Linked DNA regions of Callithrix jacchus. The protein of the gene in region 1 purifies or fractionates together with the protein of each later gene. This does not show direct contact. Links are inferred from orthologs where the notes say so. Each region holds a gene or a part of one and is shown on either strand. Other genes may lie near its edges.

Evidence for each region. Proteins that work in one complex are often made in the same cells at the same time.
Region 2: the proteins of PTP4A2 (region 1) and RABGGTB purify together in Homo sapiens (affinity purification with mass spectrometry; 3 studies listed by BioGRID and IntAct, counting the BioPlex papers as one, with this or other methods). This does not show direct contact. The link is inferred for Callithrix jacchus from reciprocal best matches to the Homo sapiens genes PTP4A2 and RABGGTB.

The regions. Positions count from the first base shown.
Region 1 is NC_133508.1:68,517,321-68,520,386, reverse strand, and holds part of PTP4A2 (protein tyrosine phosphatase type IVA 2), read left to right. Parts: intron 1-1,542; coding exon 1,543-1,617; intron 1,618-2,904; coding exon 2,905-3,013; 3' UTR 3,014-3,066.
Region 2 is NC_133508.1:112,975,510-112,979,619, reverse strand, and holds the start of RABGGTB (geranylgeranyl transferase type-2 subunit beta), read right to left. Parts: upstream 2,925-4,110; 5' UTR 2,909-2,924; coding exon of another isoform or gene 2,906-2,908; 5' UTR 2,805-2,905; coding exon 2,790-2,804; intron 1,842-2,789; exon of another isoform or gene 1,763-1,841; intron 1,454-1,762; coding exon 1,346-1,453; intron 897-1,345; exon of another isoform or gene 813-896; intron 1-812. UniProt on the Homo sapiens protein: Catalyzes the transfer of a geranylgeranyl moiety from geranylgeranyl diphosphate to both cysteines of Rab proteins with the C-terminal sequence -XXCC, -XCXC and -CCXX, such as RAB1A, RAB3A, RAB5A and RAB7A.

The sequences.
Region 1 (3,066 bases):
TGCCAGCCTGGATTTAGCCTGTGAGTGTTTTATTTGTCTCCCTATTTCAAGTAATCAAAAGTTCAGGTCACTGAAATAGGCAACAAAATTAAAGTAATTTTAGAGTTGGATGAGTCTATACATGGTTAATTTTGGATTGAGATGAATGGGAAGTTAATAGGTAGAGAGCAGATATCTGAACTTTAAACTCTTGAAAGGAGATGTATGGACAAGAATTGACTTTGATCTTAAAACCCTTTTCCCTGAGCATTCCTTGAAATGGTGTTGCAACACTATCATCAACAGCAGATTAAATGCCAATTTAGGATGCACATTTTGATTCAGAATATTGGTGTAGGCTGCCATTGCCTCAAGGTGGTGGTGATTCAGGCTGTTCTATGCTGGCCTTTTGTTTGCTATTTTCCTTTTTTGTAGTGTAATACTGTTTGTTTATAAGGTTAGAAGTTTTAGTCCTTAACCTGAAGGTTGAAGATAATGTTGTAACTTGGCAAATTTATAACTATCCTAGTTTTAGGTAGTCCAAAATTGGGGCCCTGTAATGGGCTTTATAAAAACATATTTCCTCTGTTAAATTTTTTAAAAAAGAGAACTTTTCTTAGTCATTAGTTCTTGAAAAAGTCTAGCAACTTTTTAGCATTTAATAAGGAAATATTAAAACCAGTTGGTAATGAAAATTCTGACACTGGAGATACATAATATGTTTGGCCATTTATTTTACTGTGATAATGGCTAAAGACCAATGAAGAATTTTTGATAATATATAGTGATGAGAAATTTAATATATAATATGATATTTTAAAGAGTAAAGATCTCTTAAGGTTTAGAATTTAGTGCTTTACTAAAAGTAGGTATCAGGCTGGACTCAGTGGCTCACACCTGTAATCCCAGCACTTTGGGAGGTAGAGGTGGGCAGATTACTTGAGCCCAGGATTTCTTTTTTTTCTTTTTTTGAGACGGAGTTTCACTCTTGTTACCCAGGCTGGAGTGCAATGGCGCGATCTCGGCTCACCGCAACCTCCGCCTCCTGGGTTCAGGCAATTCTCCTGAGTAGCTGGGATTACAGGCACGCGCCACCATGCCCAGCTAATTTTTTGTATCTTTAGAAGAGACGGGGTTTCACCATGTTGACCTGGATGGTCTCGATCTCTTGACCTCGTGATCCACCTGCCTCGGCCTCCCAAAGTGCTGGGATTACAGGCTTGAGCTACCGTGCTCAGCCGAGCCCAGGATTTCAAGAGCAGACTTGGTAACGTGGAGAAACCCCATCTCTACTAAAAATAAAAAAAATAGCTGGTCATGGTGGCAGGCCCCTGTAGTACCAGCTCCTTGATAGAGTGAGACCCTGTCTCCTCCACACACACACAAAAATCATAGAATTTATAATGATTAGTTATATTTACTGTATTAGGTAGGTATTGGCTACTTTAGCATAGAAGAAAAAAGAAAGCTTATGGTTTGCTTTGGTAATATGAAGTTATGGATCTTTAAAAATTCTTTCACTCCAAGACTTATGGATATTTACATACAGGTTTCTTTCTGCAGGGCACCTGTGCTGGTTGCACTTGCTTTGATTGAATGTGGAATGAAGTACGAAGATGCAGTTCAGTTTATAAGACAGTGAGTATGAAGTTTTGTGTTCAGAAATACAGAAAGGAAGATCATGAATGAGGAAGGAATTATGGAAGTGGGTATTCATTTGTAGTGTGGGATAATTTACTTTCTTTGGCTTAAAGTGTTATTTGAAGATGTAAAAACTTTAGAGCAAGTGATAGAGACTCAGTACAGCTGGCTTCCAGATTTAAAAGACTTTCTAATTTGGGTGGCAAATTTGGACATTATAGAATATGTCCAGTATATTGTTTGAATATCTAGGAATCTCGAAAATGCCCCTTTTAATAGATTCCAAATACCTTCCAAATGCAGTTCTCTATTAGGAGGAGGCAAGAAGAATGTATAGAGGAGCAGTTAATCACCTGGGTCTCTTAAGTGATCTGTTCAGGCACAAAATCAGGATGGTAGTGCCCAGACAGGATCTTGGCATCTGGAATAATGAGTCTTCCATTTTATTATCCAGAATTATTTGACAATTTTTGTCTTGCCCTTTCCCTTTGAACCTTTCATTTAAAAAATGAAAACCAAAGAAGAGACTATTTGTGACAGAAAGCATGAAATAATATATGGTAGCGGCTTTAGGAAGGTAACACATTTCAAGGAATGTCATCAGTGTATGTCTTGAGCCTGCTTCTTTATCTTATTATTTTTTAGCATCCTAAATATTTGCTACCAACTCTAATCTGAAGAATATATCAATCTAATTGGGAAGAATATAGTCAGATATTTCTGGATAAACTATTCTGATCTTTATTAAATGGTTAATAGGCCATAATGATGGTCAGCAAGGAAAATTTTTCTTTTCCTTCTTCTAGGAGGACTCAAAGTTCATGTTGCAACTTAGCTCTTAAGAAGTGTTGGCCAGGCGCGGTGGCTCATGCCTGTAATCCCAGCACTTTGGGAGGCTGAGGCGGGTGGATCATGAGGTCAAGAGATCGAGACCATCCTGGTCAACATGTGAAACCCCGTCTCTACTAAAAATACAAAAAATTAGCTGGGCATGGTGGCGCATTCCTGTAATCCCAGCTGCTCAGGGGGCTGAGGCAGGAGAATTGCCTGAACCCAGGAGGCAGAGGTTGTAGTGTGCTGAGATCAAGCCATTCATTACACTCCAGCCTGCGTAACAAGAGCGAAACTCCGTCTCAAAAAAAAAAAAGAAGTGTTATAGTGTGAGAAATGTGCTGGTTTTCAGCTGTGTGGAATTAGAAAGGCCTTAGGACATAAATAATGCATTTCAGTGAATCAGACAGCTCTTTTTTTACCTGATAAAGTTTGCTATTCTTGTATTTTCAGAAAAAGAAGGGGAGCATTCAATTCTAAACAGCTGCTTTACTTGGAGAAATACCGACCTAAGATGCGATTACGCTTCAGAGATACCAATGGGCATTGCTGTGTTCAGTAGAAAGAAATATAAAAGAAGGTTGACTTGATTGTGGCATTTGGAGGGAACTCTTG
Region 2 (4,110 bases), about 44 Mb from region 1:
GAATTAATCTATGGCTGACAATACAAATAGGGCTTCTAGTTTTCCCACAAGCCAACCAGACAGAAATGCATCTACTGTTTTCATCAGTAAAGTTCAGGGAGAATATTTCTTTCAGAGTACCTATACCATATTTATCAGGCATGTATTTTAATGTGGAGTCTGTACAGAACCTATTATCTATTAGTAAATTATATAACTACATGAAAACCAAAATGGCCTAAACATGCCAAAGATGTCTAAGCTCAGATAAAACACTGGCTAATCAATGGTACATGAACATTAAGATTCCAGAAACAAATTCTTCCCACACTCAACAATGCATTACATTTTCAGAAGTTTTGTGGCTGGGTATGGTGGCTCTCATCTGTAATCGCAGCTATTCAGGTGCCTCACTTAAACCCAGGAGGTGGAGGTTGCAGTGAACCCACATCACACCTCCGCCCTCCAGTCGGGGCAACAAAGTGAGGTTCTCTCAAAATGACGTTTTAAGAAGTAGTGCAGCTCAGTTCGCTACTAACCCAAATTCAGAGCATGCAGATAGCAGGTAAAGGCAGAAACAAGTCCGGCCCCATCCGTATGACCTTGACTCCATGACTGCTACTCCAGTATTTTCAAGGTTATGAGAACCTAACACTCAAGTAAAAAATTAATACATACCATATATCCTAAATATCAGCAGATCAGCTTAACACAATTGAGCTTGGATACCACAGGGAAAAACATTTATCTTAACTAAGTTGTTTACTACTTTTGGCTAAGATTGTCCCAGAGAGCTTTCCTCAAAATTTAAAAATTTAAGGTAAAACTTTTTCAAGGCCTCAGAGTAATTCTAGAGCTCAAGTGTTATTACACATCAGCAGTAGATTCAGATAAGACATGCCAAAACATCATTGACCTTGAAAGTCTTACTCCTAACTACAAAAAGGGACACCTGTTTGTGCCCCAAACCCTCATCTACTTTGTCTGGTGAGCACTCTCAGTATAGGTGAGTAGCTGGGACTGCAGGCAAGCACCACCGCGCCCGGCTAATGTTGTATTTTTGGAGGAACGGGGTTTCACCATGTTGGTCAGGCCAGCATCAATCACCTCGTAATTCGCCCGCCTCAGCCTCCCAAAGTGCTGGGGTTACAGGCGTGAATCACTGCGCCCGGCCAGAACTATGATTCTAGTAAGTCCACAACCTCAGGCATTCAAGGCACGCTTAACTGAAATCCAAAAGCACAGCACATCCTCAGTTCTCTGAATGGAGTTGGATACCGTTTTAAGATGACTATAAACACTCCCTCACTGCTTATGACTGTCACGCTTCTTTAAACTTTCCAACATAAAAAAAAACCATACGTACATAATCGTCTTTCTTTGATCCATAGGATGCGATATAATCTGCATGTTTCTCCAATAAGAGAGTGTCTGGTGCATCTGACTTGATAATAACATCCTTCTGTGGAGTGCCCTTTCAAAATAAAAAAGCAGTAATCTCAATGTTTACCTTTACAACGTTCTGCCCCACAGCAGATTCTACAATTTTCAGTTGATTTCACCTTGCAATAGGAAAACCTTCCATTTAAAAATTGTAACTAGGGAGACTGAGGTGGATGGCTTGAGCCCAGGAAATTGAGGCTGCAGTGAGCTTAGATGGAGCACTCCATCCTGGGCAATGGAAGACCCTGACTCTAAATAAAGTATAGGTATGTATATATTTATGACAAAAAAAGAACTTAAATGATTCAAGCTCCATCTTAGTCACAATTCAGGTAATTTTCAGGTCTCAGAGTAATTCTAGAGCTAAAGTAGTAATAATCAACTTTAGATTCAGAATACATGCCAGCTCATCATCGACCCAAAAAATTACCACCAGCATTTTTTGTTCGTTTTTCATTCAAAAAGGTAAGTAAAAATAAACACTAGGCCGGGCACGGTGGCTCACGCCTGTAATGCCAGCTACTCAGAAGGCTAAGGTTGCAGTGAGCCGAGATCACGCCGTTGCACTCCAGGCCAGGCAACAAGAGCGAAACTGTCTCGAAAAAAATAAACACAATAGAATATCAAAGCTTAGCATTTCAGGACAACTTACCGTTTACGTATGGTAGAAATCATTTTTTAAAAAAATCTAGCTAGCCCTTAATTTGCAAGCAAATTCTTGCTTAATCAAATGCAGGTTTCAAAGCACCTTCTAAGTACCCCAAAAGATGTTCAAATAGACTAAATAAGCATTTCCTTTAGCGCCATCTTCTCCACCTTTAATCCGAGTCTATCTGCAGAAGTCCCCATGGGATGCCGCTCTAGTTCTTTTCGTATCTCTATCTTCCTTATTGAGAGTACACTGCAGTCACTATACTAGGTCATGAAGATTACCGGAAATGATTAAGTACCGAAGTTTCCATTAATCCCATCAAAAAGCTACGAGGACAGCCGGGCGCGGTAGCTCACGCCTGTAATCCTAGCACTTTGGGAGGCTGAGGCGGGCGGATCACCTGAGGTCAGGAGTTCAAGACCAGCCTGACCAATATGGTGAAACCCCTTCTTAAAAAAAAAAAAAAAAATCTACGAGGCCGTCAAGCGAGATCACATCACTAACGATTTCCAAGAAATTTTTGACACCCCCCTCCAAAAAAAAAAAAACCCATCAATCAGCCCTAGCTTTTTAGAAGGATTAAGAAATCGGACGACTCAACTCTTAACAGGCCCTCCCAAGAGAAGACGGCCTGGGTAAAATTAGAAGCGAAATTACCCGCGAGGTCTGCAGAAAACGCTGAGTAATATTTCACCCTCAAGAAACCTTACAATACCTGTGTCTTAACCATTCTCCAGCACCAGGAAAACCTACCGCGATCAGTCTGCTCAACCCTACACCACCCTGTCTGCTACCAACACATCTGGACAGCAGCACCAAACGCACACCTACCATGTCTAACAGCGAAAAGAGCGAGAAGGGTCAGTTCCTGGGTAGACTTAGGAGCCGGACGCCTGCGCAGAAACACCTCTCAGGCCCCCACCGCCCTCCGATATAGCTGACCACACTTCCGCCTGAAAGGCAGAGCGGTTCTTAGTCTGCCGTAGGACCCCACTGATTGTTCATAGGTGTCCTCAGCTGCCTGCGTCCAAAGTCTCTGGCGCCCATATTCACGTTCTGTAGTCAGTCTGATTTGTCTAGCAACAGCTTTAAATAATATTTAGATATCTGAGTTGCTTTTAAGAAATCATTTGAGCCGGGCGCCGTGGCTCACGCCTGTAATCCCAGCACTTTTGGAGGCCGATGCGGGCGGATCACCTGAGGTCAGGAGTTCCACACCAACATGACCAGTATGAGCAAACGCCGCCTGTACTACAAATACAAAAATTAGCTGGCCGTAGTGGCCGTAGAGGCTGAGTACTCCCAGCGTAGTTGGGAGGCTGAGGCAGGAGAATGTCTTGAGCGCAGGAGGCGGAGGTTGCAGTGAGCCAGGGCGGGGAGAGAGAGGGAGGAAGAGAGAGATAAATAAATAAGAAACAGGAAGAAAGAAAAGAAAAAAGGAAGGAGGGAGGGAAGGAACGAAGGAAATTATTCTAGTTAGGAAGGGAGGGAGGGGAAGGAAGGAAGGAGAGAGAGGGAGGGACAGAGAAAAAGAAAGAGGGATGATGGAGTGAAGGAAGGAGCGAGGGAAAGAAGGAAGGAAGGAAATTATTTGTTCTAGTGAAAAAGGGAGGAAGGAAGGAATGAAAGAAATCATTTGTTCTAGTTTGAACTCCGGAAGGAAGGAAATCATTTGTTGTAGTTTGAACTCCTGGATGCAAGCAGTCCTCTCCTCTGGGCCTCCCAAAGTGCTGGGATTACAGGCCTGAACCACTGTGTCTGGTCAGAACATTTTTCTTCTTCCTTTTCTTTTGAGACAGAGTCTTGCTCCTGTCACCCCGGCTGGAGTGTAGTGGCTGATCTCGGCTCACTGCGACCTCCACCTACCAGGTGGAAGGGATTCTGCCTCAGCCTCTCGAGTAGCTGGGATTACAGGCACGCGCCACCATGCCCAGCTAATTTTTTGTATTTTTAGTAGAGACGGGTTTCACCATGTTGACCAGGACGGTCTCGATCTCTTGACCTCGTGATCCACCTGCCTCGGCCTCCCAAAGTGC